4 linked regions of the Oreochromis niloticus genome follow. Each later gene encodes a partner of the first gene's protein in a complex. Links are inferred from orthologs where the notes say so. Each region holds a gene or a part of one and is shown on either strand. Other genes may lie near its edges. The genes, in order: rbm48, cript, rbmx2 and sf3b5.

Region 1 (7,370 bases):
AATTTTTTTATATTAAGTTCAATTTTATCTTTCTTTTCCATTCAGACAGCAAATATTCATGAAGTCTTTCTTGACCTTGTAGCTTTTTGCAGTCTACCACTTCAACGTGTGCATCCAGCTCTTCTCTAGCTTTCCTGCAGAAGGCTTGGGATAGAGTGCTCTTCCCACTCCCCTGCAGAGAGAAGTCACAGCACAACATGTTGCAGACTTAACAAAACAATACTGGTTAATAAGTGTTCTCCAGTGAGCTTAAGCTGCCATAAAAACCAAACAAACATCAACGCTATTAAATATCAATTTATCTTATGTTAATTAATTATACTGACAGCCGTTGTGTTAGCAATAGTAGTTAACTTAAATGTTAAGTAAAGAGATACCTTGGCACCAGTGATGAGAAGAGCTCCACCTTGAAGTCCCCGACCAGTGGCACACAGCTCTCTCGAGAGGGGACTACCCAGAAGGCTATGGGAGATAAACTCAAACCCAGTTCTACAAAGCTCATCCATCCCACTGGGAAAAAAAACAAACAAACATGAGTGAGACTGATGGAGAAAGAATCGCCTGCTTAAATCATGCATTTGTACTGAATTAGCAAAAGACGTACCCAAGAATACTAAGAGAGGGAAGTTCTGGGTGGGGTGTTTCAGCTCCAGGCTTCACAGCTGGGGTGGTTACTGGCTCTCTGTCTACCTGAAGATGAGAAAAAGACATAACTGTGAACAACTTCAAAGACTTTTTTTTTCTCTTAAAAACGTGTTGAATTTTTTAATAAAAACTGCATGAAGCAATCGGTTTACATATAAACTGTTTAAAGACACAGATATATAATTCTCCATTTGCATGGTGATACCTGTATGTCTTTCTTCTGGATAACTGTGGGTGCTAGAAGAAACAGCTGATCTGAAGCTTCAGTCTGTGGTTCTGGTTTCAGCACAGTTAAAGCAAACTCTAGCTTTGCTATGGAAAAGAATAAAAAGTGAAGGGACATTATTTTTTAAAAAAAAGCTAATTTAAGATATTTATTATTACCCCTTTTTTTAACCTTACATAGCCATATGCAAATCTGTCTGTACATGATTTATAAATACACTTCTTTGGCTTGTAACGGAAGTGCAGGAATGAATCACCATCAGTTCCATGTAGGAGGATGGTGCCAGACCGTGCTGTCAGACAGGCTAAAGGTTCGTGACTCTGTGTGTGCAGCCAACCAAGGAAAGCTGTCTGGATCTCCTCATCATCCTCCTCAGGCTGAAGAGAAAAATGTCAAAAAAAATCAGATGGACAGAAAGGAAAGAAGCTGAACAGATTTTCTGCAATTCTGATCAAATTATATGTCCTTGTACTTCATTTACATCCGACACTGTAACGCAGATGTACATTCCAGCACTCACCAGTGGATTTAGGGGTTGTAGGCAAATAGTAGAAGCTACTTTGATAGCTGATTTCACTGACTTAATTCTTACTGTTGAATGGGCAGGGATATTCAGCCTGCTGGCCAGAGGCTCTGGAATCTAAAAAATGAAAGATACAAAAATTTTAACCAAAACAGAAAGAACTAGGGCACTGCGGTATAGCTAAAATACTGTTTATAAACTATATATTCTCCTCTTCAGACACCATACTCACCCATACTCTTCCACTGTGAATCTCTCCCTTGCTTCTTTCCTTGCATCCAAACAGCTCGGTACAATGGCACACTGCCCTAACCACCATGGCCTCCTCTTCCTTCACCTCCTCTCCTTCAGGTGTAGCAGTCTCCTTAGTAACTCTTGGCTTCTTCTTTTTCTCCATTGCCTGCTTGGTTCTGTCCCTCATTTCTTTGGGGGATGGGACTTTGGAGAGAAGGCCATATGTAATTGAGGAGTGACCTTCACTCAGCCTGGCATTGAAACTGTGGCTCCAAGGAAAGATGTGAATAGCATTAGTTGCAACGTGGCTTATAGTGCTGAGAGAGTGGGGAGGTGAACCGCACACTCTGTACAGAGAGTCCGTAAGGAGAGCGGGGATTTCAGGTAAAGGCGGTTGTTCCTTAACTGGGTCATAAGCGCCCTTTATCATGTGATGAAAAAGGCTTTTCAGGTCTGCTATGCCACCCCACTGGTGGCTGTTAGAGGTGGAGGAGGTACTTTCTGATGATGGTCCTGAAGGGGAGGAGAAATCCATGTTTGGCTGTCTGTGAAAACTTTCTGAGTTTGGGTTGGCTTTTAGTTGAGAATGTGTGTGGGTGCCAGTTTCTGCGCGGATCTTCGGGGACACAACAAGTTCTGTGAACTGCTCCAGGCGACCGTAGGGCACACGTGGAGAAAGTGAAGCTGTGCAGAATTTAAAAAAAATTAAACTGTATTATATAAGTCAAACATTTAAAAATGAAGTTGAGCAGGCAAACCATTATAACTGCAATATTTCTGTGTAACATGTTATTTGATAAACAACATATAACAGAATAATTGTATCAAAACTGACCTATTCGGATAAAGATTACCGTGTGGTTGTCCACCCACACAGGAAACACGGCATCTTGGAAAACTACTCTGATCTGATCCAGTAGTTGCAGCTCCAGTGCAGAACTGTGGAGCTCCTGGCGATGTCAGTCACACAAAAGTGATATATTAATACTTCTTAAGAGTGCTTTAAAAAGGAGAAGTCACCTTGTAGTTATTAGAGTGTGTAAAATAGTGCAAATTGTATGAAGACAAGTTTCACACACTGTATGTAACTAAATTACCCACCAGGATTTCCCAGTCATCAGCTGATACAGGCTCCACAAACACCCGATCCAATGATGAGACCTGATGACATGGCCTTAAGAAGCCCTGAGGGAAAACAAGCCAGTAAACCAAACAACTAGTAAGTCCAAAATTAGCTTCTTCTGTAAATACAGCGAAGAACAGATTCCTCACGGAGGGACTCTACCTGCTCTCCATCTGTCAGGCCCTGCTTCTCTCCTAGCTGCCGACACAGCTCCACTTTGTGGCTGTCCAGGCTAGAGCTGGCTCTGTTTTGAGTCCAGGTGAGGAACACTGGAGGCCCATGACCACAGGACAACTCCAGAGGCTGGTTCTGAAAAAGACCGTAAATGGGTTGACTGTGAATGCCACTGTATACAAAAGTATTCTAAAGTCATTGCCAAGTTGCATCCCATGCAACTTGGCAATGACCCCAAATTAGAGCAGCAAATCTACAACAGAGTGGCTGTAAAGGAAAGGAATCAGTGTGTTGCAATGGCCCAGTCAAAGTCCAGACCTCAGCCTGATTGAAATGCAGGGTCTAAAGAGAGCTGTGCATAAAAAAATTCATGCAAACACTGTGAAGTAGAGTGGGACAAAGTTTCTCCACAACACTGCGAGACACTAATAAAGACATAAATAAAATGGTTACTTCAATTTAGTGCTGCTAAAGGTGGTTGTACCAACTTTACTGAATCAAGGGGTGTACTTTGTTTTTCACATGACTGCATGTTTGCTGAAGCACCTTTTGTTTACCCAGACTATACCATGACCATCATCCTTGCTTGCAACCATGCTTGAGAAAACAAATCCTCCTCACTCAATCCATTTTACACAGTTTAGACTAATAATGACAGGGTTAACCCAGTTCTGAATCCTTTGTAATTAAAGGTCAAACTCAAGGAGAGAAAGCCACGAAACAGGAATTCCTGTCAGCCAAAAAAGTGCAAATATAAACAGAAAGCTCTCATCAGAAAACCACTGTTCATTCATAACAGCGAACAGGACACAAGCTAGAAAAGTCATTTAAAAAATACCCTTAGACCCCGGATTCATTTCTAACACAGTCCTTTGCCTCCACCAAGTGAAACCGTAAAGGAACTGCTACGAAAACAGCTCCACCGAGAAGGAAACAAATACTGAAATACCAATTGCTAACTACCCTCTCTCTCCATATGCTGAAGTATTGTGTTTGACTCAGCTCCTCTTCTATCTATATTCAGAGCATGTTTCCAGCCGGGCCGAAGTGGAGTGAATGGAGTCATGAAAAACTGATCTTTCAAATTCATTTGGTCTAAAGAGCAGCCTGACGCGAGGCTGAAGTCACATTTTATTTTGTAATGTGAATAACTGTCAAAGGGTCTCGAAAATTAATTTACAGCAGCATTAATTTTGTTAAAAAATAAAAGAATAGAACAACACACAGAACGGGCCAACATTTTAGCTAAAAATGGTTTAAGTCAACAAAGCTTCTACTAATTTTACCTAAACGATAGTGCTAGGTGGTTAGCTAGGCTATCTTACCTCGTTCAGGGAAAGCTGTGATATTAGCTTCAAGGGAAGGTGTAAAAAGCAGTTTTTTGCGTTGTTAAAAGTGACCGTTACGGGTTGAATGCCCTGATTGCTAAACATGATTTTCACATAGTTTTCTATTTCGCGTTCAACGCGTCAAGCAAGCTGCACCGCTAACATCAAGTGTGTGACAAACTCATAGTCGATCGATGTGCTCTGTGTGGGCCAGGCCAGACCAGAGTAGCCGATATTCGGTTGAACGCATTTCAGAATAAGACATCCAACGACGCCATGCTTTGAATGAATCCTATTCAACATGAAAATGAACCTTTATTTTGAAATGCATCAAGTGAAAAGTTCATTTCCACAAACATGGCGGCTCCCGTCAACAACAGCTCTGGCTGTTGGAGAGTCCCGGAGGTTTACAAACATCACGAACAGCGGAGAGTGTGCATTTCTCGACCAAAATATAGGGAAGGAAGAAAAGCCAAAGCAGTTAAGGTAAGAAGACGCTTCTGTTTAGAAATATTTGACCAAAAGAGCGTATCTTAAGGTGTGAGACACCCCCTGCTACGTGGGAACGCCACTTACAGTGTTGTTAAAAAACATCTGCTCCCGGATTTTATGGACTCCAGTGAACCACAGTGAGAGCCTTGACCACATCTAGATGATAAATATAACCACTATTCGCAGTTTTCACATGAGCATTTTTCCATCAGTGTACCGCAGTCAAGTGTTGCATTATTTGCAGGTTTACACCATAAATTTAGAGAGTCGTTACCTGATGGTCCAAGGAGTCCCAGCGATTGGGGTTATGACTGAGTTGATTCAGCTGTGTGCCCTTTATGGAGCTGTGGAGGAGTACAGGCCCCTGGACGAGTATCCTGCCGAGGAGTTCACAGAGGTCTACCTCGTAAAGTTCCAAAAACTCACAAGTGCCAGGTACAAGATGTAACTTAGACTGTTCATTATGCCTAACTTGCAAAGTCTGAAGGACCTTCTGAATAATTTGGTTTTGTTTCAGAGCAGCAAAGCGACGCATGGATGAGAAAAGTTTCTATGGTGGTGTGCTGCATGTGTGCTACGTCCCCGAATACGAGACTGTGGAAGACACCAGGCTCAAGCTGCAGGACCGGAGGAGCTATGTCATCCGGGCTGCTCAGAAGAGAGGTATAATTTTATATCTATAGGTTATATTTTGCCTCACAAAAACGACCACTCCAATGAGAAACATCTTAGTTCCTCATTAGTCCAAGCAAACAATTTCCACCATTTCCCTTTTGCACTTTTATTTTAATTTGACTCGGATCTTTTTGAATGATGGGGATTTCTAAACTTTTTTTTCTGTCTCATTTTATTATTGCAAAGTGAGAGAAAGGGAACAGAAAGAGGACACACAAGAGGAGCCTTCTTCATCAGAAACAACTACCATGTCAGATGACAACATCCTCACACACAAACAGACCTCTGGAAATGACAATACAAGGGAGACTTCAAACGTCAGCCACTATTTAGGCTTTCCTCCACTGCCATTACCTCCCCAAAAACATCATTACCATAGGCCTAAAAGTCAACATTTACCGACAGAGGATAAAATGGGGACTTTACACAATACCTGTGCTGGCACATTCGAGCAGCGAGAAGGGAGTTCAAGGAGCAAACAGACCTTATTGAGCAGACAGGCAGCACATCAGGCTGCGGCAGTCAGATTTCTTCCTCGGACCACACACTTGGAGAAACGGAAACGCAAAATGGAAGAGGCTGAGGAGCCCTCCAGTACTGTTTCTGGGCAGAATGAGCCTTTGATTGGACCAAAACTACCAGAACCATCCAAACTGGACATGGAGGATGAGTCACTGAACACAACTGTCAGCCTGATCAGGAACACAATGAAGCAGGTACATGTGATTATATTGTTTTGGTTGTAGTTAAGGACAAAATAATATTTTCACTATGATCTAAATCAGTTAAACCAGTTTCATCGTCTCTCCTAGGTGACATCGAGTCCAGACATCAAACCAGTGGAGAAGAAGGTCAAACCACGCCGTCGGATTTGATAGAGCAGGACTTTTTATTTATTTATTTTTTATTAAAAAATTTTGCATCACAGGACCATCTGCCATTGAGGTTAATATTAAAGATGTTTAGGCTGGGTATGGAGTTATGTGATTTGTTTATTGTTCCATTTGTTCCTGAAATACGCGTCCCTCAAACATCTCGATTCTCTGAAAAAATAAGAAAAGCAGACTGTAAGATTGAGAATTTTTGATGGGGAAATTTAAAGAGCTTAGAAGCTTCTCATTACAGATTACCCTGAAGTCAGGAAGGCAGGTTCCAAAAGCTTCCAGCAATAGGTTTTCATCTTTCACAGCCTTTTCAAAATCTTCAAAAGACAATTTGCCATCATGGTCATAGTCCTGTGGGAGGAAGCACCGTTGGCAGAGCTGGTAAACTATTTACAGACCTAAGAATTTTTTAAATAGTGTTTTGGGTTTGTTTTTTGTTTTTAAATCATGTGTAAACAGTTATATCTGTGCAGCAAACAGCTCACCATCTTCTTCAGTATGATCTCCACCAGGTCTTTGATTCCTTCGTCAGGGTCCTCCTCATTGGGTTGTCTGATGAGCCTGCCCTTCAGCATATGAAGCATCTCCTCTCTAGAGATGGCGTTGTCACCATTCAGGTCGTACACAGTGAAGCAGTCTGAGCCATGCCAAACACAGGGATTTTTTTAGGTAGATAAAGCTACATGTGTGAAGGTGTGAGAGTGAGCTTAAGCAAAAAAAAGTAAGATTGAGAAGTTACATTTTATTTTTTCATCCAAGGTCCCCCGAAGAAAGACAGACAGTCCGTCGATCCACTCTTTCATGCTGACAACGCTGTCGTTGTCTTTGTCAAAGGTCCTGAAGACTGAATGACAGCCAGTTACACTCACAACATGTCTTGGATTTAATTATAGATTTCAATTGTTCGTACTGAAGAAATTGCTCATTCCCAACTCTGTACTCCTGGACAAGCGTACTGAAGGATTTAATTTAATCATTCTGAAAGAGGTGGTGCAAGTGAGAATTCTGGGTTGTGCCAAATTGGAGAGTACTTACAGGGTGATAGTGATGATTTGGAGATTTTGCT
Region 2 (7,804 bases), on another chromosome or scaffold:
CTCTTAATTCCCTAGTTTTTTACAGGATTGCAGGATTGTAGTAAAGGAATAAATTATGCAGAACTGACATTTTTCTTTGTGCTTCTGTGCTTTTGCACAGGAAAGATGAGCGAGGTTATTGGTAATGTCAGCCATGTGCTAACTGTCTAATTTTACTTATACTGCACGGTGTTTGGCCAAAAAAAAGTTGTTTAGCCCGTGCAACAGGGACAGTGATTGATTAATGTACTGTGATCCACTCTCAGATCCTGTTTAGGTAGCTGTTTGGGGAGTTTATTTCCCACTTCCAATATGAAGAGAAAGGTTATACAAGCCAGGAAGCACTGGATCTCAGTTAACCGTTCTCATAGAGCAATGATTGATATCAGCTAAGTGGGTAAAAATCTTTATTCTTTCCTTTCATGTTTTTTTCTGTAATTACTAGTAACGGATGCTAATAAGATGCTTTCTTGAGAGTAGCTTTACATTAAAAGTTATAGCCTTATAGTTATAGCCTTCATCAAGTCCTCAGTGCTTAGGCTCAGTGGAGTTCACCTTACAATAACAACACATTTGCTCTGTGTGATTAGCACATCATAGCTGCAGATCTCAGGCCATCTATCAGTGTTTTCCTAACCACTTATCCAACTGTCATAGCGTGAGAGACACGGTACAGCAAACACAGCCAACACAGAGAGACAACTTTTCACTCTCAAATCCACATCTACAACTGATTTATAGTCAACCTAACAAGCATGTTATCATACTGTGGAAGACACATCAGCTCCCAGAAGAAGTTTGAACCCAGAACCTTCTTGTAGTGTGGTGACAGTGCTAACCACTGTACCACACTAATCTCAGGGCAAACCCGGTATTTCCTTGTTTCTCACTTCAGCAGCACTTATATAAACAATTAATGGTTAAAGAGTGTCATCTAGTGGTAAGAATTTAGTTGAAGTTTACTTTAAGAGTTAAATTCTAAAAATTGGACTAAAATGAGAACTTTTAAAGTTCATAGAGTCACATTATAACATGTATAAATGTTTAAAACATATTCAACCATTTAAAAAAGTTTACTTGCTAATCTCATGATACATCAGTGCAGTTCTTTATATGTCTGCTATGCCCTCCGATTGTTTGGCCACTTCATGAAAGACAGCTGCTCTCGCCTGTCTTTGTTGCAGTTCTCCCACACCTGACTGCCAGAGCCGTACGGGATTATGCTTGTTTGTAAAATCCATGTAATTAGCTCCAGCAGCAAGTGCCCCTTTGCATTTAGTCACCAAGCTAAGAGATGCATGTTGATTCAGGATTACTTATAGTGATCTTGGGAGTTGAACTGTGGCAAACCTGTGGGACCTGCTCTGTTCTGTTGTGTTTGGTTAAACTTGTCTGTATGTTAGCAGAAGCTTTTGTGGCCAGGCAGGGAGCGTAGGCTTTGTATTTGTGCTTTGACATGTAACTTGGTGCTTCTTTTCTTTTTTAGCAATAAAAATAAGTAGTTTTTTTTCTGTTTACTTTATTATTGTAAATTGATTGTAAATAAATGCCTTGTTTGTTCGACAATCTTGTATGAATGTTTGTGATTTGGTCTGCTGGTATGTTATGTTGTACTCCATGCCCTCCATAAACTGCAGATAAAAGCCCTTTAGATATGCAAGTCAGAGATGATTGTAGGCTTATATTCTTGAGTTACTATCACTGGTTTTAAAGAAAAGAAAAGAAAAGAAAAGAAAAGAAAAGAAAAGAAAATTGGATATCAGGTCATCTCCAAAGTACATGTATGTACATTGTGAATAATAGTAATAGTAATTTTGGACTTTAAATTATTTCTTTCAACTGTTCCTTTTCCAAGGGAATAATTGTACAGAACACATCTTGAATGACTTTAAAAAAACAAACAAAAAAACAAAAACAAGAATTGGGTGCACAGGTTTGGATTTTCTATAATCCACACAGGGTCAAAAGTATACATACAGGATCAAAAATATACACACACTATCATAAGTTTTTCATTAAATGGTGCTGAATGTTCTACAATGTATTTTAACCTGACAAGGCCAAAACTTCTTAACTCCTCCTCAGTGATCATGATTGACTACAACTGGTAGTTTCGCTTTGCTAACACAAAAATAATTTGTTTTACAACACTCATTGGAGTCATCAATACTCAGAACAATAGGAAAGTCAAAAGAACTCGGTGAAGATCTAAAAAGCAGAACTGTAGATTTACAAAATTAGGTACTTTTCTTGGAGCAATTTTAAACAACTGTGGACTCCAAAATCGTCAGTTCAAACAACTGTATGTAAATACAAACTACTTACATGTGCTACCACTTTGCCAAGGTTTGAATGAGGACGGAAACGAGGAATCACCAAGGCACAAGATTGGTCATGAACTAGAAACTTTTCGAACACCATCGTTCATTTGAAGTGACTTTTATACTGCAAAGGACTGGTGGTAGCATAATGCTGCCAGTGATACTGGTAGACTGCATAAGGTGGATGGAATCAAATAAGGAGCCAGAACTATGCCACAAACCATATTCTTATTTTTCTTTTGTTTGTTTTAAGTCATTCAAGCAGCCCTTGCACACTGGTGACATTATGCCATTGAACTGAAACAAATCCAGATTTTACTCTGTTCACCTGTTGTATTCCGGGCTCCATCCTTCCAGGTGTCAGGAGTGATGACCTTACCGAGCTTCTTCTCACCTGGAGATAAAAAGCAACGCAGCATATGTAACAAAAGCAACGCAGTGGATTTAAAGGAAATAAGCCTAGAAGGTGAAGGTATGTTTTCCTGAACCAAAACAACAGTGAGGACAGTAATAACAACAGTTAGCATCACATAGCGTTAGCCAGCTTTCTAAGGATCATCGAGCTTCTCTTAACGGGAAAAAAGACATTAGAATTGAAGATCTAAAATAAATTAAGTGATAGGAGAATGGCGAGATACCTACACTTTTCACAAACCATTGTCCTTCTTTGTTTGTTAAAATAGAAGCAGAAGCGTTAGCTGCGTTTAGCTTTCTCTGTTAATGTAAACTTCCGGTCGTTACTTCCGTTTCCTTGCAGCTCGCAAACGATTGATTGGTTAAAGCCTAGATTTCAAATCTCAGATGCCATTGGTTAGCTTTACTGCGCTTCGGCGAGGGTCCAAGTAACCCGTTCTGTGATTGGTTGCAGTTTCCCCTGTTCATCTGTAAAGTGGACGAAAACCTGTAAGTTTTCTTTAAAAATTAAAAGTTTGCTGCTGCATTATTTCACACGTGTGAATATAACGTGTGAAATATAACGTATGAAATACGTGTGAAATAATTAAATCCAATAAATAATAATAAAAAACTTTTAAAGCTTACAAACAGTAGGCGACTATAGCAGTCAGGCAGAGATAGTTTAAAGAACACTGAAGAATCTCATTTTTCTATTTCCCGTCAGAATAACGTTATAGCAGTGAAAGTAGAAAAAGAATGGCCCTCACTGATAAATAGTGGTTCACATCTAGCTACATGTGACAGTGTTCACATGTTCTGATTAAATAGGGAAACTGATTAAATAAAGGATTATGTTCAAACAAGTATACCACAAACATACAATTTGTTTTCAACAAAAAAAAAATCTGTGGTAAAAGTGGCTTAAAACAAAATCCACAATAATAATAAAATGAACGGTGGTTTATGGATGTAGTAAAGGAGGATAGGGTGGAGAGGGTTGGTGTGACAGATGAGCAGGGTAGTGGTAGGATGAGATGGAGGCAGATGATCCACAGACCCATAAAGGGAGCAGCTGAGAGATCTGAAAATGGATTAGAAAATGTTCTACACAAATATAAAAACACAAAAGTCTCAATGACTCCTTTGTCACTTTGGATTGAATTACACTGGACCAATTGCATTGGCCCAGGTCTCACATGTGAAAGATGAGAAAAGCCCATCTCCCACCAACCATTCTCACCACCTACTACAGAGGGAGTATCGAGAGCATCCTGAGCAGCTGCATGACTGTCTGGTATGGAAACTGCACCGTGTTAGATCGCAAGACCATACAGCGTAAAGTGAGAACAGCTGAGAAGATCACTGGAGCCTGTCTTCCCTCCAACACAGACACTTATTGAATCAACTGCATCCACAAACCCACCAGCATTGTGGAGGACCCCACACACCCCTCACACACACTCTTCACCCTCCTGCTTTCTGGTAAGACATACCGAAGCACTCACGCCCTCAGTGCCAGACTACAAAACAGTTTCTTCCTCCAAGCTGTCAGACTCCTGAATACTCAGAGACAAGACTGACACACCCACACACCTTTATACATTCCATTACCTCAAGTACTTATTGCACAATGCTAAAGTCTTTTTGTAAAACTATTGCACCATCTTGTGTCTGTATGGTTCTGCTCTATCTGGTGTCGCACTGTTTTTTGCCATTTTTGCACACTTGCACTTTAATTAGTCCTGTGTTGATTTACTGTTATATGTAGCACCATGGTCTTGGATGAAAGCTTTTTCGTTTCACTGTGGCAGCAACAAATGTATACTAAATGCATGGCTGTCTGTAATATATTTAAAGTTGTTAAAACTATAATGTACTTTTATTGAACTTTGTCTTGCCTCATCTACAAGGAATAAGTATTGTACTTTTATTTTGAAGTGAAAGCGGAAGTGAGCATGGTTCCATGTTTACGGAAACAAGGTCAAGCGATTCATCTATGGATGTTACCTGTGCTACAAATCCAGCGTTACGTTGAGGTTTAAAGTGTTTTGTGTTCAATTTGTCGGTGTCCTGTTGTAGTTCGCTACAGCCTTCACAATGTGGGACCATGAAATCAGAGCCATGGCGTCCACTCACGCTATCATCGCCGCTTCGGTGTTCATGGCGACGGTGCTACCTGCTGTGCTCGTACCGGGCTTCTCGGTGTACGGCACACACCTGCTGTGGCTCTACTCGGTGTCCGCTGCGGTCACCGCGGTCAGCGTGGCCGTGTTCTGGCTGCTCGGGATCACACCGCCCGCCAAGAAGCACACGCTGGGATACAAGGTGCTGATAACGCTTTAATAATGATGGAGTGATGTGTGCAGTGCCACATGGGCTGTTTTATTTTTTTTAAAAGTGCAATCAATGCAGTTTTTAAAAGAGGGTTTCATTTGTTAAGGGGGGAAAGCGATCCAAACCGACCTGGCCCTATGTGAAACACTAATTGCCCCATTCAAATTTTGTCTTGCTAGTCCACAGAATATTTTCCCAAAATTCTAAGGGGATCAATAAGATGCTGTTTGGCAAATATGAGACAAGCTTTTGTTTTAAATTTGGTCAGCAGTGGTTTTGTCCTTGGAACTCTTCCATGGATGCCATTTTTGCCCAGTCTTTGTGTGTGGTTTGTGGATTGTGGTGTAATGTGTTGCTCTTAGACTACTCCACTTTGTCAGACAGACTCTGTTCAAGTGATATTTTAATTCAACACGTCTGGCAGTAATCAGGCCAGGGTATGGCAAGTAAAATTAAAGTTGCCTTTCCAAAAAAAGAAAAACATCTTGACTTATTTGTATATAAATTAATGTGAATACTTGACTCTTGCATGTTCATCAAACCAAGATCTTTTTTCCCAGGAAGTGATCTTTTTATATCTGGATCTTAAAGGTTTGACTGTTTTCTCGCTGTTTTTTTTCTGCAGCTGTCGAGGTTGCTTCGCTCCTGCCTGTACTTCTTCCTGTCGTGCCTGTTCTTCCACACTGTTGTTGTCTTATACGGAGCTCCACTGATCGAGTGAGTTGTTGTTTTTGCTCGTGTTTACATGTATGTGTTTAACAGAGGTTGATAAAGAGAGACGCAGAGAGCAGAGATCGCCACAGTAATACACAATAAACTAAGGATCCATGGAAGGATCACACATAAATGAATGAAAACAGCAGGCAACTACAGAAATCTTCAAACCCTGAAATGATTCTGTCACTTATAAAAAGTCAAGTGAACTGAATTTCCCAGAGGAACCCACCCGAGGGATTAATAAAGTTTCATCTAATCTAATCTAAAGTGTTTTACTTTGTCTCTGCTTGCTTTTTTATGTGCTTTTTTTTTTTTAAACAAAAAACAAAACTGTCAATAACGCTCTTATTGTAGTTGTCGTTGATACCGTGAACCTATCATTTCTTACAGATCTGCCTTAGAAACATTCTCCCTTGCTGTGCTGCTGACTTCGTTAACCACGCTGAGGTGTCTCTGTGTCCTCGGCCCCAACGTCCAGGCCTGGATACGAGTCTTCAGTCGCCACGGGTAAGGCTGAAATCATTTTCCTTCTTTTTCTTTCCTCCTGGCTTTTCACATGACTCTGTGTTGAAGATAGTAACTGTTCTTGCTTTTTCTTTGTCTCTGGCTCCAGAGCTATGTCTGTGTGGGACACCTGTCTGCAGATCACTGTGGCCTGCACACTTGTTGGAGCCTGGGTCGGAGCATTCCCCATACCTCTGGACTGGGATAGGCCCTGGCAGGTAATTCTATGCATGGACAAAGCGTATACTCTTGGATTTGTATCCTCACATTAGGTCTTATACAGTCTAGCATGTGACTTTTTTATGTTTAGGCTCCTTTTTCATTAAATTACATGCTGCAGTTTAATAAACGGGTTCCTGATATTTCCTCTACACACATTCATTTCATTTAGATAAAAATAACCCAAGAACTGGCTCAGTCAGTAGTCTGGCTGTGGCACTTTGTAAGCAAATTAGCTGGCAATGAAGGTACATTCAGTACTTTTTCTTTCCCCAAGTGTCGACGCAGCAGATGGATCTACGTGTTTAATTTGGCACAGAGTTTGTGCCAGATGCCCTTCCTGACACAACCTTCACATTTATCTGAGCTTGTGACCCCGAGGCTGGGTTTGTGTCTTCTGGTCTGAAACCAGGGATCTTTTCCATCCCTGGTTTAATTTGTTAACCACTAAAGCACGGAGAATCAAATGTCAATTTTAAATTTTTTTTGCAAATAAAATGAATATTTCTTGCTTTGGAAGAGAGAGTCTGACTAAATCTCTAATCCACTGTATGTAGAAATGTTCTCTATCCACAGTGGAGTTTTTGCTCTTAAGACAGGGAACTAACACGACCATTTAAACCATATTACCCGCGAAGCCTCTCTTAGATTTTTCTGAGGTTTTCTCAAATGACTGCTGGATTCACAAAGGCCTCTTAACTGCATGGACTTGTAAATTACTGGTTTCATTTTGATGAATGGAGGAGGTGGATGTCCTTGTGTTTTCATTATTCCGTTAAAAATACCTTTAAAATGACCTTAAATGGGTACTTTTCTGCTTTGTTAGTTGGTGAGTAGCAAAAGTGTTGTAGAAGGGGAGAAAAGGAAGAGAAAACAGTAAAAAAATTGGAATACACGTGTATTAATAGCAGCAACATCAGGCTGATGTGCTGTAGTGACAGAAGTAAAGATTGTCTTTCAAAAGCAGGAATGAAATGATAGGTTGCTATGGTGATATATAACACAAGTGTGCCAGAGGATGATACTGGGCACTAACCTGCATGAAGCCGGTGTGGTAGCTGTCAGAGTGAAAAAGCTGGTGTAAATTACACATTTTTTTTTTGTAGTTGATTTAAGTTGTTAACTTCCAAATTCTCCATCACGATGATTTTTTTTTTTTAAGCACTGGACAGAGTAATCAGCCAATGAATAATGAATTAGATTGTTTTTTTAATGGAAAATGGAACACATTAAAGTTATAATTGCACAGGGAATTCTGTGTAAAATGACTGAAGGAAAATGCAGAGGTAATTGGGGTGTAACTCAAATTGACAGACTAATAGTTCAGCTTCTCT
Region 3 (7,881 bases), on another chromosome or scaffold:
TATAGATCGACTTCATTTTTTGAGGTTTGTTTATCTAAAAGATAAAAGCACACTCCAGGGAAACAAGCCCACAGATCATCCACAGATTTGAAACGAGAGCAGCTTGTTTTTCACTCGTCTGTCAGGCTGTCGGCGTCTTCTCGCTCAGGTGTTTCCCTCCCACAGGTGTTTGGGGGTTTACCTGCTCTCTGCTGGACTGGATTGGCCTGGTGGCTGCAGAGCTTGGAGCCACTTTGCTCTGCTGCGTTTCTGCTCCAAACTGCAACGTGAATAAACAAATAAAAACAAGGTAAACAACGCGGTGAATGCAGACTGTCAGCTGACTGCAGAATGAACACTTTCAACTAAAAATAAAATCCATTAAAGCTCCTCGAAGGCTCTGAAGTCTCTGTTCCAGTACAGTTAGCTCTGAAAATCAAAAACATACAGAGAAGTGTTTCAGCTAAAACAGTAAACTTTACACCGGGCCCGTCTGCCTGCTGCTTTGCACCCCACCTCCACCACGAATACCCTCAGTTTCTCCTGGTGTCTGATCATCGCTGTTGTCACTGCTCAGTAAATCTTGTTAATGTGGTGCTCCTGTTCTCAAATAAACTCTCTTTTCTTACTACAAAACAAAGGTGAGGATGATAAATCAAACTTGCCTTCTTGCGGCAGATGAGCACAACCTTACTAACTCACAGAGCTGCTTACAGTCAAACAGACTGAAGACGAGACATAATTAACTTTTACAGCCAAGTTTGACCAGCCAAACATTTCTCCTGGGGATCTTTACTATCGGCACAGCACAGACACGTTCCCTGGATGTTTAACAAAAACCAGACACAGGGGCTGATGGGAAACCAGGAGCGCTCAGAAACAGAAGACGACACGGAGGAGGAGAAAAACTTGTATTGAGCAGCAGAGCTGATAACAGTGGTGCACTGAGGAGGTCAAACCCGTTTTCCCGTAACTTCCAGCCCTGGGTGCACCGACTTAAGGTCACAGATTTAAGGAGGAGCCCAGCGCTGACAGAGTAATCCGTCCTTAAACCCTCAAATTTGGAGGAAGAAAACAAAACAGGCAGTTGTCTCGAGTCATTATGGACTCAAGAAGCCTGACCTTAAAAACATAGCTCAGATTATTTTCTTTGACAGGTTAGACGACTCTAACATCGTCTGCAGCTCATCCAGAGCCTCACTAAGACCAGACAGTGTCTAAAGGCAGATTTACAAAGCACTGAATGGACCTCGGCTCACATATTTGTTTTCTGCTGCCTTAGAAAAAGGCCCAAAGCTTCTGGCTGTGAAGCAAACGTCCTGAACACCTGATTCAGCCGAAACTCCTGTTTTTAATCCTGTTGTTATGACAGTACTTATTTTTCTGGGCCAAATCACCTTGAATGATCTGAAAAAGAAAAATGTGACTGTGATGCCTCCTGAGGACAGATGGCTGCGGTTCCCCTTGAAGTTATTAAATGTCAAGAAAACAAACCAAGAACAGGTGGAGTGAGGTGGAGCTACCGTACCAGGCCGACGTTGCTGAGGTCAAACAGGCTGAACGGCCTGGAGGTGACAGCTTCGGTCTGGATGAAGTTCTTCAGGACGTCAGAGGACATCGTCTGGATGTAACCGTAGTCCTGACAGACAGAAGGAGAGGAGGGTGTTTACATGAGCAGAGGTTCATCAAAAGAAAATGTGACTAAATGCTTGTTTCCCTCTAAGAGAGATGGAACAGGAGGTGCTAAATTTGCACTACAGACGAAGAGGAAAACACGCTGATCCACCCACAGCTCATGTTTTTATTTCTTCACTGTAAACCTGAGAGATAACGAGCTCCACACTGCTTCCACTTCCACACCAACAGGAAAACTTTCATATACGTTTGTCCGATGTGAAAAACGACAGACCTCACTGTCAGATGCTTATATTCACATAGACTTCTTCACAATCAGACCAGAGGAGTTGCCCCCTGGGGGATATCTGAAAGAGTGCAGGTTTGAGGCTAGGTCCATCTTTACGTATATTAAAGGCAAAATAGGTGGCAGCACAGAGACTCACCACGATCTCGTCCAGCAGCTCGTAGATGAGGGCGAAGTTCATCTGCACCGACTTCTCTGATAGGCTGCCGCAGTAATCTTTAACCAGAGCTGCTAACCTGCAACACAGAGCATGCTCAGTCAGCTCAGGTGTGCATAGACAGCAGGAGCTGTAACACCATCAGGTGTAGAGCCTCAAACTGTCTGAGGTCACAGCCATCCTCAAATAAAAGCACTCAGCTTACGGATGACCTCACACCTGTTGAGAAACTCGATGATGGCGAATGGCGAGGAGCCCACCGTGGTCGTGGCGACCCAGTACAGTCCTCCCTGCCTGATGTGGAGGAAGTAAAGATCCTTATGATTCTGCAGGAAAACAAAAGATGTTTAACCAGACATGAGGAGAAAGTAATTGTTAAATCAAACATAATGATTCCTTCTTCTGAAATCTGAGAACAAGCTGCTCATTGTTGGTTTAAATGTTTTTAATTATGAGCTGACTGGACAGAGTCAGGACAGAGTGCAGATGTTGCTGCATTGCAACAGCTTTTGCAGCTGGAAAGCTGACCACGTCACGGAAACATTGGGATCTAAATAAAATGAACCAAAACAGCCACCAGAACGCCGTGTGGGGTCCGAGTCATTCACACGGACCAATAATCTAACTGCTGTGAGGTTAACTGTTCAATCAAACCCTTCAAAAAGTCTGAGCTCCACTTTGTGTGTTTGGATGTTCCTGAGCATTAATCAGCAGGTATGCGTGTCTCAATAAAAAAGAAGCCATAATTTATTTACCATGACGACCGGAGGCTGGTCCTCGGTCAGCGCCGTGACCTTCTCGTAGAAAATACTGACAATGTCGTTACCAGCTTGTCCACGGACTGGTGGGTCAGGTCAAGGTCGATGTTTACACACAAAATAAATAAAGCGCATTTTGAGATTCAGATTTGTCCCCATATAACCGACTGTATGGAGGACTGGCACTGCCAAAATAAATTTACAATTAAAGTTTATTTAATGGGGGACTAATACATCCATTCATACAGCTTTCATTTGTCCTCAGCTGTGGGAACAGAAGGATACAGTCTTTATAAATGAGATGGTCCCCCTTCGAGGACAAGATGAAGACCTGAGAGATCATCCTGCTGAAGACACACAGGAGAAATGAGAAAATAATAATCGTCTTTATTTACTTATATGAATTTATCATGTTGCAAACAAAAAAGGCATAAAGTGACAGAAAGTGGTAACTAAATAAAAACACTGAAAAGTTAAAAAGAAAGAGTTAAAAATCAAGTACAATGAGGAAAAAGTTATTCTGTTTTTTTAGAGGAGACTTAAAGTAAGTACCCGAGGTCCACGATTTGATTTCCTCACGGCTCCTCATGCTCCTCACGGCTCCTCATGCTCCTCACATATATGTATACATATATATTGCTTTTAATTTTTTCTTTTCTCAATTTTTCCCTCGTTGTATATTATTTTCTCTTCTTACTTTTGCAACTTTGTGGTCCAGCTACCCAACTTCGCTGTGCAAGAAACTGCAGAATGACAATAAAAAGTCAAGTCTCATGCAAACACCCAGGTGATAATTGAGGTTACAATAAAATCTTTCGTCCTTAGTCAGATCTAATGATTCTTATGCCGAATATGATTTTAGCACCAAAGTAATCCGAGAAACCCTTAAATGTGATTTTAATGTGTACATGCGCTAGAGGAAGTGGAAAAAATATTTTAAAATGACGGAAACTGTAAGCGACCTCAGTCTAAAGCGATTAGCATGCGCAAATTAGCTTTTCACGCTCATTTTGTAAAGCTTAGGTTAATAACAGTTACTGATTCACTCACCCACAGATGGCCTCCGGGGAAACAGATGTAAAAAATAAATAAATAAATAAAAAAGTAAAACTTCAGGTTTCTTTTAACCCTTTTGTATTCCTAGGAAGCCATGACTGGCAGGGAAAGCTAATTTACTGATCCCAACTGGGAATTCGAGTGAGCTAACCCAGCATATTTTAACTCCTACGAATTCCCATGACAACCATTCATAATTAACGGATGAATGTTGACAAAACAGCAAAAATAAGATGTTAAAAGGTTAAATTAAAAAAAAAATGCGTTTGTAAGCTAGCTCCCGGCTATCCGGGTAGTTGATAGGTTAGTGTTTACAAACCGGGTCATCAGCTCGCAGTTAGCGCACAGCGCCACCAGCAGTGCAGGAGGATAATTTACAAGGAATTCCAGTTAAAATATTTAACTGGAATATTTAATATTTAATATTTAATATTTATATACAGCTACATAATCTTTCTATCAATATACAGTCGTATCTACACTTTCACTAATAACAGTTTAGATTATTTAGCCGTGTAAATGTAGCTTGTCTTAAAGACATCCTAACAGCAGGGGGCAGCACCAGCAGGGGCGGGAATTCAAACGGAAGTTGTTCCTGTCAGTGAGATTAGCCATTTTCAGCACAACGTTAATTTACAAACCGTGTTGTTGGTCATGAAGTAAGTAATTATTTTCTTATTAAACGTTTAATCTAAGTTTTTATTGTTTACTGATCAATGATAACTATTCGGTAATGATTGTAGCCATTCGAAAATGACTATTTGCTAGCCAAAGCGCACGCTTGAAGATCGTTTGAGTACTTCTTTATGTACATTCTCGTCTCCCAGATTCCATACAGAAAACCTGGCATTTGATGTGTATTTTTCACCAGCTTTCCCCATAAAATAATCAGACACACTCTCTGCGGTTATTATAAACATATAAGAGCCTTATTTCAATTCGGCATAGTGTAAAAAAGCATAAAATTAAGCTTGGACGAGAGTTTGACGAGGTGATCATCGCCTCCTGTTTTGGCCATAGGAGTATTTTTCTTTACCGTTGCGGGATGTGTGTTAGCTCACTAAAATAAAAATGAATCAGAGCTTCACAGAGCACAACGTGAAAACACCCGTGTTGCGTTCCTGTATGGTCAGCGTGTTCACGGGGCTTTAAATCAGTCTTAATCTGAATGGAGTTTGGTTTGTAGAAACAGACGTCATTACGCTCCACATATCTTGAAACAGTGGTGTAAAAATCACTTCTGTTTGTACCTTATGTTTAGTTTTAAATGACATTTCTTTTATATTTTACTGTTTATGGCTGATGTCTTTTTATTTTTTTGCCTTGTTATTTTAAGTTCATAGATGATTAAGCTCATGTTTCTTCTCCAAATCCTAAAATTTAGCCTTGCAGAAATAAAAACTTAAACGCTGGGTTGTCAGAGATGAAAGCCTGACTACCATGGGACTCAGAGCCTTTAGTTGTTCTGCCCCGAGACTTTGGATGCACTTCCACTTGCTCTGCGGACCACACACTGTCTCACCTCTTTTAAATCACTACTCAAAACCCATCTGTTCAGAATTGCATACACCTGATCTGTCTTAGGCCATTTTTACATTGCTCAGTTTTTATATTTGCTTTTATGATTGTTTATGTCTAAATTTTATCTACCATGTTTGCTATATATACATCTTTTTTAATGTTTTTTATGGTATTGTTTATGTGCTACTGTAAGGTAACCTTGAGGGTCTGAAAGGCGCCTATAAATAAAATGTATTATTATTATTATTATTAAAGCAGATGACTGTCACACATTAATCACAGATTATGAACCAGGATTCTGAAGAGGAAACACTTTTCTTTCCCAGTGAAACACTTTCTTTTCTCTCTGTGTTTTCAGTCCTCTAACGAAGGTAAAGCTGATAAACGAGCTGAATGAGCGCGAAGCCAGCCTCGGGGTCAACGAGTCTGTTTCCTGGCATAGCGAGTACAAAGACAGCGCCTGGATCTTTGTTGGTGAGACTGCGTGACAAACTGAATAATCAACAGATTAGCAGATAATGAAAATAATCATTAGTTGAAAGCTGAGGAAAAATGTAAACTCAGAGGAAGTAAAGGATTTTCTGTAAAGCTAGATCCTCACATGACTGACTGATTCCCCGTCCTTTGCTTCTTAGCTGACAGGTGGTCACCAGTCTGCCAAGGTCATTGGTCAGTCAGGGATTTCCTGTGCTCCCATTGGTTGTCATTTCTACTTCAAAGTTGCTGTCACTGCAGCACAAACTCTTTGACTCTTCCTGATTGGCTTAAGCTCCACATGTCAAGTATTAGTAAGCTCAAGAGGTTTTTCATCGATTGATATTTCTCATGTTCCAGATAAATGATCGACAGGTATCAAATCGGTCCCTACGGACCAATCAGATCTCTGGAAAATGACTTCACTCAATCTGGAAGATCCATGAGACATCTCGGATCGTGTACTCTGTGTTGAAAATTCCCACTTAAAATGTAATACAATAACCCTCATACCGCCTTAAAATCTGTACTCTGAGTGATTCCAGCAATGGTGAAGCTATTGTTCAGAGATTTAATTGGTCAGGTGATCGTGAGTTCCTACCTGCTGATCTAAAATCTTGAACATCACATGCTCTGGAGCAGGTTAGCTGTGCATCATAAGCATAAGTTACTAAGGTAGTAATACATGAACCACTGTTGTAACACCAAAGTGAAGCTAGTTTAAAAACCACAAATCCTGTTTCATAGTACACACAGAGTGTACAGGGTTTGATGAACTTCTACCCAAAAATAGGATAGAGTTGGCTTTTTGGAAATATTCATTTTACATCAAATAACGTGAATCATTACATTACCTTTACTTCAGCTTTAATAAAGACATTTTTACTGGAAATAGCAGTGTTGTTGTGTGCATCTACTGGATGCACACAACAACACAAAACTAAATGTTTTGTGTTGTTGCAGTGTTAATGTTACTGACATTAGTGATGAAGTAATGAAGGGTTTTTGGAGAATAAATAAACAGCGTTTTGGATGTTTTGTTTCCTGCAGGAGGGTTTCCATACGAGCTGACTGAAGGAGACCTGATCTGTGTCTTCTCTCAGTATGTATCTCATCATTTCTTAACTACACTACTCACAGAGTAGAGGGAGCACCGTGATTCACTTTGCTTTTCTCCTTGAACCTGTCAGGTATGGAGAAATCGTCAACATCAACCTGGTGCGTGACAAGAAGACTGGAAAGTCCAAAGGTTTCTGTTTTATCTGCTATGAGGACCAGAGGAGCACCATCTTGGCTGTGGACAACTTCAATGGCATTAAGGTGACACGACAGACTCTGCTGTCTGCTGCACTGATCTAAATCTCATCTGTCTCATAGATTACAGTTTGTTGCTGTTAACACAAACATCAGTCATGGATGTCCACAGGGTCCTGTGCTTCAAATAATACTGTTTGTGTTATATGGGAAAACACTACATCTGTTTTCATTGATATGCAGATGATACCCAGCAATATTTATCCAGCCACCAGATGACACAAATAAAGTTAAACTACAGTGTAATTATTTAAGAAATCTTGGAGTCATTTTTGACCAGGACATGTCCTTCAATGCACATATTAAACAAATATGTAAGACTGCTTTCTTCCATTTGCGCAACATCTCTAAAATGAGAGATATCCTGTCTCAGAGTGATGCTGAAAAACTAGTTCATGCATTTATTACTTCCAGGCTGGACTACTGTAATTCTTTATTATCAGGATGTCCTAAAAACTCACTGAAAAGCCTTCAGTTAATCCAAAATGCTGCAGCAAGGGTACTGACAGGGACTAGAAAGAGAGAGCAGATTTCTCCTGTTTTGGCTTCACTTCATTGGCTTCCTGTTAAATCCAGAATTCAAAATCCTGCTCCTCACATACAAGGTCTTAAATAATCAGGCCCCATCTTATCTTAATGACCTTGTAGTACCATATCACCCTATTAGAGCACTTCGCTCTCACACTGACTGAACAACTTTA
Region 4 (8,030 bases), on another chromosome or scaffold:
ATCCATTATTCAAAACTTGGCATAAATACATGACCTTTTCTTCCACACATTGCAAGACAGTTACACACTTCAGGACTTTTATTAAGGGCTCTTCAGCAGATGTTGTAATACCAGCTACAAAGAAACTTTCAACACTACTTCAATTGTGCAGGTTTGCTCTATAACCAGACCCTAATACAAAAAATCATTCCAGCACTTCTGAAATTCACACATGAAGAGGAAGTTTGATATGAAAACCTTCAGTGACTTGGACTGAGGCTAGAAAAACCTTCACTGCATTTTCTTACACATATCAAGATCAGACAAGTCAAATGAATGATTGCTTTGCTTGTCAATTCATTTTTTAAGATCAAAGTTTATTATAATTATGGCACATATGTCTCATATTTATTGCAGTCTAAGTTTATAGTTTATCCTCTGGTAACACAAGTCTGTTATCCACCTGTCTTCTTCTACCTGTCCAACATGCAAACTCCACACTGAAAGACCACAGAATGGATTCAAACCCAGGACCTTCTTGTTGTGAGGGGACAGTGCTAACCACTGCACCACTCTGCCAGCCAATCAAAAAAGATAATAATAATTTAAAAAAATAAAACCCTAACCCTTACCTCTTTACCATTTCTATTAAATTCTGTTCTTTTTTGCAGACAAAGTTTTTTTATATATATATATTCAGTAGTATGTTGTCCACTTAAAATGCAGTGCAGGTTATGAAAACTGTTGAATACTGAACATCAGAGTGCTACAGACTGGAATTTAACTGGGAAATGTAGAGCAGAAGCATAATTTAACAGGCTTTATTAGCGGCACCTATTTTTCTACACCTTCTATCTCACTGTTGCACCTTCAAGTGGAGACCAGAAGACTGAGCATAATAATCGTGCCTTTATTCACATTGTTGCCAAACCCTTTTAACAGTCCGCTGCACTTATTTTGCATTCAGCTCATACTGAGGGATTAGAGTCTCAAGAGGCTGGAGAGTTTTTATCCTTCAGCTGCACTAAACTCTGCATGCTTCTCTGTTATATGCAAAGCCACAAGCAATGTAAACAACATCCCATCTCCCCCACAGCTAAGGTGTCACCCAGCTTTGTTTTCCGTACCAGTGGTTTCTGCCGGGATGTGCTGCTGAGAATATCATCCCTGGGGTGCAGTTTGATAAATGCACCTTCCTGTTTTATTGCTATAATCCATCATGCCACGTTATTTTCATCAGATATTTTTCTACAGAACGAGTGAGCTAGACTGTTGATAGTGAAGAGCAGTCCTCATGGGACATAATTCAATGTGATATGTTGTCTTCTGTAGTTTAATCAAATGTAAAAATAAACCTTAATGAAATGGTCCTAAAACATGGAAAATGCTTTTGTGTATCTATATACTGATCTGATCTGACACATCATAGGAATGTAACTTTGATGGCACTATTCTGTTTTTCCAGTGATTTCTTCCAGATTTCTAGTTATTTCTAAATGTTGCAGAATTCCAACTCGTTGCTGCATATACGGCTCCTGGGATCAAAAGCAGAAACATTCTTGGGTAAAGCCAGCAAACACAATCTTTTGCAGCTACCCAGATAACCACAGCGGTCTCTGAACAGTAATAAAGAGATGACTCGGCTCTATAAACAACCAACCAAACAGTTAATATAAAGAACATGCAAAATTCAGGTAATCATCCAAAGTGCAATATGTTATCTTAAAAGGGTTGGGACTGAAAATAAGTTTGGTAATAAAAATAAATATAACTCTCAGGAGAATGCTTTTGCAAAAATTAAAATTACCTTCGGGTAACCTCAATGCACATCTTCCTGTTATCGCGCCTTAGAGATGAACACAGTCTACGAGATGCACAAAAACTATTAAAATTAATGAAGCAGAGGAGTCATGTACTCATAGTTTCTGTAGAAATGTTGGATTTAAATTGTTTTCCCCAAAGAAACATTTTACAATGTTCAGCCAGACAGTAAAATGTTATAGTAGATGTAGTAATAGTTTTTACTAGACCTTCATGGCTCCCAGAAAATGATCTGAATGCTACTGATACCAGAAGTCTCAACATTTATTTCCTTTGTGTTTCTTTAGTTGGGACCCTAATGGCATTCACACTGCCCTTGGGATGAATTCCAGCCTGTTATGTATTCATAAAATGTATGCATTTATTGTCAGGTCAAAAATTTAAAGTGTCCAATACCATTGTGACTAAATACTAACATTCCAGGAATAAAACAGCAGTAACACAGGCACCAAAGTCCAAGGAATGTCAGTTAGAGTCAGCAACTTGTAGAGATGACCCTAAACCTTACCCTGAGTTTTTAGTTGTCCAAATATCAGCATAAAACAGCAGCTCCCAAATTTATTTCCAAAACTGTGTTAAAAAAATTAGCACTGCAGCTATACACCAGTATACTTAACTCCATGTTTATTTTGGGACTGTGGGAGGAACCCACACAGTGAGAACATACAAACTCTACACAAAAACAGCCCCAGACTGGATTCAAAAATCCTTCTTGCCGTGAGGCAAACCATGCACTATTGTGCCACATGTATTGGCACACTAGTCTATTCTCTTTAGATAACATCTAAAGACAATAGAGCCTAACTATTCACAAAATATAAGTAAACATTTCAGAAATGTGGTGATTTTGGCTCAAAATTAAATGTTGAGCCAAGAATATTGCCCATCATCCTACCCATGAGTGCCATAACGCTAATGTCTGTGGTTAAGTTATTACTGCTTTGCACCTAGCCACAGAACATCATACAGACAAATTTGGCAGTTTAACAGAAAACAGGCAACACAAACAGAGACAGACACATTTTGAGCTAATTGGGTCAAACAGCTAATGAGCCTATGGAATGGCAAGGCGCCTGTTATCCTTCACTCCCACAATTCACAAGAATCACTGCTCCCATTCGACTATTTGAGAGACAGATGTCCTGGTATGACATAAATAAACTGAATTGGGTTGAACTGAATTAAACTGAATTGAACTATTGGTCAGAATTTAGTGAAACACAGTGATCACCTGATGGTTCTTCACTGAAACTGTTCTCATTGTCAATGTCAAGGTTACAGTTGTTGTTTTATGGACATTTTTCCATTTTCACAAGAATTACTGTTTCTCCTGGAGGTCCAGTTTTAGTGAAATGACATTAATTTGTCCTGGATCTGACTGTTTACAAGCCTGCTTGACTTCTCAGTGGATTTCAATTCTCATGAGTTTCTGCAATAAAGCCAGCCAGTAACAACAAAACTTTCTTTCTCCACCTCACACAATACAATAACCTCTGTATTATGATGGATCATGAGGTGGATGAGCTACTACATCGCTGACATTCTAGCAAAGGTGTCCGTGCCCTAGAGCCCAGTCTATATGATCAAATAGAATAGAATAGCTTTATTAACCAAATCCATGGAAAATTGCCTTTGTTTCACCAAGTTGCTTCAAATGAACCCACATTCATACATATACATATACAACACTTCAATACAATAATAAAAACACATCACAGCATCTCATTATTCAGTATATCAATTGCTCTTGGCACAAATCCTCCCTTATACACCTCTATACCTGGAGGTGTCCTATAATGTCGTTTTGAAGGCATTAATTCAAAATCAGAATAGAGAGGGAGGTCATGGTCAGCAATAATAGACCGGGCTTTCCTCAAAACAGACTGATGACACAGTTTATCCAGTTTAATTTGATGTTGACCAATAATTTGATTCTGAAAATAATGTGGTTTGTTCTTAAATTGCCACAGTCAGGTTATTGAAATATTGGACGTAATGATGTTTTCAATCAAAGTGACATAAACATCGTGGTTAATTCCAAAGTCCCTTAACATCCTAATAAGAAACAATGATTAGGTTTCTTGTAAATGGGGTCAACATTAACCATAATATTAACCTTGTCATCAATATATGTTAGCATATATATATAAGCTATTAATGACTTCCACAGACTGACCAGAAAGTGAAAGACTGTAATGGGGCTTGTGTAATTCAACACAAGATCTTTCATTTTGTTGACATTAATCAACAAATGACAAGATTTAGCACCATTCTTCCAACCTATGTACCTGAGCAAAACAAATATGGTCAGAGTTCCTATAAAAGTGATCACTGGAAAGAATTGAATGAGGAATAAAGGAGAGAGTTTGTTATATGGTGACACATCCAGTCAGTCTGTATGTACGGTTAATAGGCTTCTGTCTTTTTTCCATATCAGGCTGTGGCTGAATATGATGTTGATCAAAATCTGGAATTATGCTATTTATATGACTGATTATTGTTATTATATAATATTAATTGTGTGTGTGCGCGCGCGCGCACATTATATCGCAAATGTGCACATTATTTACTATTCCCTACATACTAAATGTTAGGCTTAAACTTATGATAAGCAGATGTTTTCATTTGTTTGTAACTGCACAACATGTGATTCTGAGCCAGTGCCCCTCAGTTTATTTGTTGTAAAATAAACGTTGCCTCACATACTGTACAAAATTTCAAAAATCCGAATAGAAGCACACAGGTCGCGAACGAGCCGCTCGTTTTGATGTTTGATTGATTGATTGATTGTTATTCTCTGTATTTCCTTAATTATATAATTAACTGCGGGTTAAGAGAACAACAGTTTTTTTGTCAGTGTTAAGTGATGCATTGCACCTTCGTACTTGTGTGTATTACTAATACATTACAATACTATGCACATATATATATAATTAAGATTTAGGATCTACACGAGAAACGCAGAGTTTACAGTCTATGTTCCTTTCCGGTTCATTTTACTGGGCGAACCAACCGGAAGTGATCGCTCCGTGGTGCTGTGTTGAGGTGGAGACAGTCGTGTAATTTATTTACATCTCCTACCTTCGTGTTTGAATTCCTGACATTTTATGTAAGTATCCGTTGTATTTTAAACTTAAAATCTGTCTTCCTAGTTATTATATTAACTTTAAAAGGAACATTTAGAGAGCGGTTTACAGATACGGTGAATAGGCTAACAATGGCTAATTAGCCTCACATTAGCATTAGCAGGAAAACAAAAACCGGTTAATTTCTCTGTTTACATAGAAATGTCTTTACTTTAAATTTAAATAAAATGTAAATTGCTTCAAACTATTATAATCATTCATTTCGGGTTAACATTTGTTGTGGCATTGCTAGACTCGTAAATACAAAATACAAGAAAAATATTGAGGTTACATGACTGAACTTGCGTCTCCTTTTTAGCTGCACGTTTCTTGTGATGTCCGCATGTGCTGTTGCTGTTAGATAGCGTTTCATTCTTGGGTCCCTGTACTTATAAGCCTTAAACGGCTTACAATAGATGGTTATTTTGGCTCCGAATCAATCAGCCTTCGGTATGTGACTTTACTCAGAAGAACAACGGCTGGTAAAGAAAATGAGTCTTTGTTTCTACAATGGCTGGCAATAAATATAAAACATCAGAACACGACCACTCTGTTACTAAAACAAAATTCACAAGTATAAATGACAGCAACAAGGTCGGCGACTTACGTAAGTTGTGTCGTAGACGCAGAATGCCCACAGAAGTCTAAATCGGACCTTTACCTGCACTTCATCTGTGGTGACAGCCTTTTCCTATTTCTTAACAACCACTGGATAAAAACCAGACCTTAGAAAAGTGTCTGTGTTGTATTTGGGAAAACCAGAGCCAGTGAAAATGTGGGACACAGTCTCAATATGTGGGATAAGGGATAAAAATACTGTAACACAATAATCAAGGTTATTTTTGCTCAGTATTAAGGTTGCAATTCTTTAACCTGGTAAGACTTTTGAGCTTTTTAAACAATGAAGACAATTTATTTCTTGTTCTTTGTCACTTTTTTCAGTCAAAGGTATTCCAAACATATGAATTGGTTTTCTTTTTGATGACCAAAAAACTCTCTCTTTATATCATTTTTGGTTGAGCTGACCTGCCAAAACCTGAAGGGAACACTGGGTGTTTAGTGAGGGGCAAAATTGTGCCAGTGCAAAGGAAGGGGATTCACTGGATTTATAGAATAGGACAAAATATGAACCCTCGCCTTTTGTTAAAAGACAAACAGCACAGTCGTAGTCTTTTTTTTTTTTTCAGTCTGTAAAAGATAGTTCTAATTGAATACAGACTTTGATTAATAGCCCATCTTAAAGTTTTTAGCCTGTTATCTCATTGTGTGGTCCATATTTATTTTTATTTATTTATTTTGTATTTGTATTAGAGATGGACCGATCCGATATTACGTATCGGTATCGGTCCGATACTGACGTAAATTACTGGATCGGATATCGGTGAGAAATTAAAAATGTAATCCGATACATTAAATATTAAAAAAAACACCTCACAAAACTTGCGACAGGGTGTAACTCGGCTCATAACCGTAGCACGTCGGAGCAGTATGCCTCACTGATAGAGCGGCTGTGTGTATTTGTAGCCTCACTACCAAACCAGCATTTCATCTCTGAGAAAGTTATCCCAGAGAGAAGTAAAGCAAGTGTGTAAGTTCATCTCTGAATGTTTGTAAAGCGTTCCCATGTTAAGCTTAACAACCGATATATGGAGCGACTGCCTCTCTCCCTCCCTCACCTTCCTGCCGCTACTTCAATCGTGAAACTGCTTAACGATCAGCTGATCGGCTTTTCTGTCGGGAGTCCGTCTCTCTTCTTTGTTTTTGGCCCACTTTGCACCAGAAAGAGGAAACCAGCGGCTGAACAACAGCAGCACGTTTAAACTTGATAAGCTGCTGTTAGAATTTTTATTTAATATTACTTTCTACACCAGGATCCTTTTAGCTGACGGCTGGTAACTGTGCAGGGGCGGATCTAGCAAAGTTTAGCCAGGGGGGCCGATAGGGCATGAACAGGGAAAAGGGGGCACAAAGACATACTTTTCTTTCTTATTCTCATTTAAAATGTCTAGCTTTTAATAAATAATTATCTGAATCTTACACCCAAAGTTTTAATCTGATGTAAAATGTATAGAAGTCCATTTCTGTATATAGTAACTGTTAAGTCTAATATACTCTAGTAAGCTATAGTACTTTTTCCTTTGGGAAGGTACCATCTGTGCAGTCTGCAATTCTGTTGAAGAAAGATGTTGAATCTATTTAATTATTCTTGAAAAATAATTTAATTCTGTGCATTTTTTTTCACCCTGCATCAAATTAAAGTTGATTACATCGATTAAGCATCATGAGGTGGAGGATGGGGGGTGGTTCCCTATTTTTTTTTGCTGGGAGTTTGCAACCCTATTAGTTAGGTTGCTTAATATTTCTGCTAAGTACTCTTTAAAATACCAGAATAGGAAGGATGGAGCAGGTTTAAGTTTATTAGATTGATCAGTGTTGCTGAACTATAAAATATTTTGGGTGCAGTGTATTTTTTACATACAGGTATAACAGAATAGCTTTAGTGTTATTGTTTATTTAAACTTGAGTATGAACTTATACAAAATGCAGCAAGATATTAAAAAAACAGTTTTATTGATTAAAAAACACACTATATCGGATTCATATCGGTATCGGCAGATATCCAAATTTATGATATCGGTATCGGTATCGGACATAAAAAAGTGGTATCGTGCCATCTCTAATTTGTATTCTAACTTTTTTCTCATCTCTTCCCCTGTTTAGAGCCTCCAGGACTCATTTCAGCAAGAATGACAGACCGTTACAACATCCACAGTCAGCTGGAGCATCTCCAATCAAAGTATATTGGCACAGGACACGCCGACACCAGCAAGTGGGAATGGCTGGTCAATCAGCATCGTGATTCCTACTGCTCCTACATGGGACATTTTGACCTGCTGAACTACTTTGCTGTAGCTGAGAACGAGAGCAAAGCGCGTGTTCGTTTCAACCTGATGGAGAAGATGCTTCAGCCATGTGGACCACCAGCAGATAAACCTGATGATGCCTAGATCACACTGGAGTGAGCAGTGGGTGCTTTTTGTCAGAAACAAAAAATTTCCAACTAAAACTGCTACTTCGTCCTTGTTTGACTCCACCATCACTGGA

The links.
Region 2: rbm48 (region 1) and cript share a complex: the UniProt entries of both Homo sapiens proteins name them as parts of the minor spliceosome. The link is inferred for Oreochromis niloticus from reciprocal best matches to the Homo sapiens genes RBM48 and CRIPT.
Region 3: rbm48 (region 1) and rbmx2 share a complex: the UniProt entries of both Homo sapiens proteins name them as parts of the minor spliceosome. The link is inferred for Oreochromis niloticus from reciprocal best matches to the Homo sapiens genes RBM48 and RBMX2.
Region 4: rbm48 (region 1) and sf3b5 share a complex: the UniProt entries of both Homo sapiens proteins name them as parts of the minor spliceosome. The link is inferred for Oreochromis niloticus from reciprocal best matches to the Homo sapiens genes RBM48 and SF3B5.

The regions. Positions count from the first base shown.
Region 1 is NC_031985.2:22,586,530-22,593,899, reverse strand, and holds rbm48 (RNA-binding protein 48), read left to right. Parts: upstream 1-4,584; 5' UTR 4,585-4,610; coding exon 4,611-4,739; intron 4,740-4,829; coding exon of another isoform or gene 4,830-4,901; exon of another isoform or gene 4,902-4,956; intron 4,957-4,989; coding exon 4,990-5,180; intron 5,181-5,262; coding exon 5,263-5,408; intron 5,409-5,606; coding exon 5,607-6,136; intron 6,137-6,232; coding exon 6,233-6,295; 3' UTR 6,296-6,398; downstream 6,399-7,370. Other genes in the region: peroxisomal ATPase PEX1, read right to left, coding at 76-172, 378-510, 605-690, 851-957, 1,128-1,248, 1,392-1,511, 1,627-2,312, 2,464-2,578 and 3 more; clxn (calaxin), read right to left, coding at 6,413-6,463, 6,551-6,655, 6,790-6,941, 7,044-7,148. UniProt on the Homo sapiens protein: As a component of the minor spliceosome, involved in the splicing of U12-type introns in pre-mRNAs.
Region 2 is NC_031973.2:10,624,182-10,631,985, reverse strand, and holds the start of cript (cysteine-rich PDZ-binding protein), read right to left. Parts: upstream 3,095-7,804; 5' UTR 2,959-3,094; coding exon 2,943-2,958; intron 2,773-2,942; exon of another isoform or gene 2,695-2,772; coding exon 2,629-2,694; intron 1-2,628. Other genes in the region: pigf (phosphatidylinositol-glycan biosynthesis class F protein), read left to right, coding at 4,794-5,021, 5,656-5,747, 6,138-6,254, 6,361-6,469. UniProt on the Homo sapiens protein: As a component of the minor spliceosome, involved in the splicing of U12-type introns in pre-mRNAs. Involved in the cytoskeletal anchoring of DLG4 in excitatory synapses.
Region 3 is NC_031975.2:31,901,080-31,908,960, reverse strand, and holds the start of rbmx2 (RNA-binding motif protein, X-linked 2), read left to right. Parts: upstream 1-4,380; 5' UTR 4,381-4,525; coding exon 4,526-4,530; intron 4,531-5,750; coding exon 5,751-5,866; intron 5,867-6,916; coding exon 6,917-6,968; intron 6,969-7,056; coding exon 7,057-7,186; intron 7,187-7,881. Other genes in the region: ap4m1 (AP-4 complex subunit mu-1), read right to left, coding at 182-259, 1,508-1,618, 2,040-2,136, 2,277-2,383, 2,813-2,898, 3,101-3,158. UniProt on the Homo sapiens protein: Involved in pre-mRNA splicing as component of the activated spliceosome. As a component of the minor spliceosome, involved in the splicing of U12-type introns in pre-mRNAs.
Region 4 is NC_031978.2:12,069,947-12,077,976, forward strand, and holds the start of sf3b5 (splicing factor 3B subunit 5), read left to right. Parts: upstream 1-4,757; 5' UTR 4,758-4,909; intron 4,910-7,646; 5' UTR 7,647-7,672; coding exon 7,673-7,933; 3' UTR 7,934-8,030. UniProt on the Homo sapiens protein: Component of the 17S U2 SnRNP complex of the spliceosome, a large ribonucleoprotein complex that removes introns from transcribed pre-mRNAs.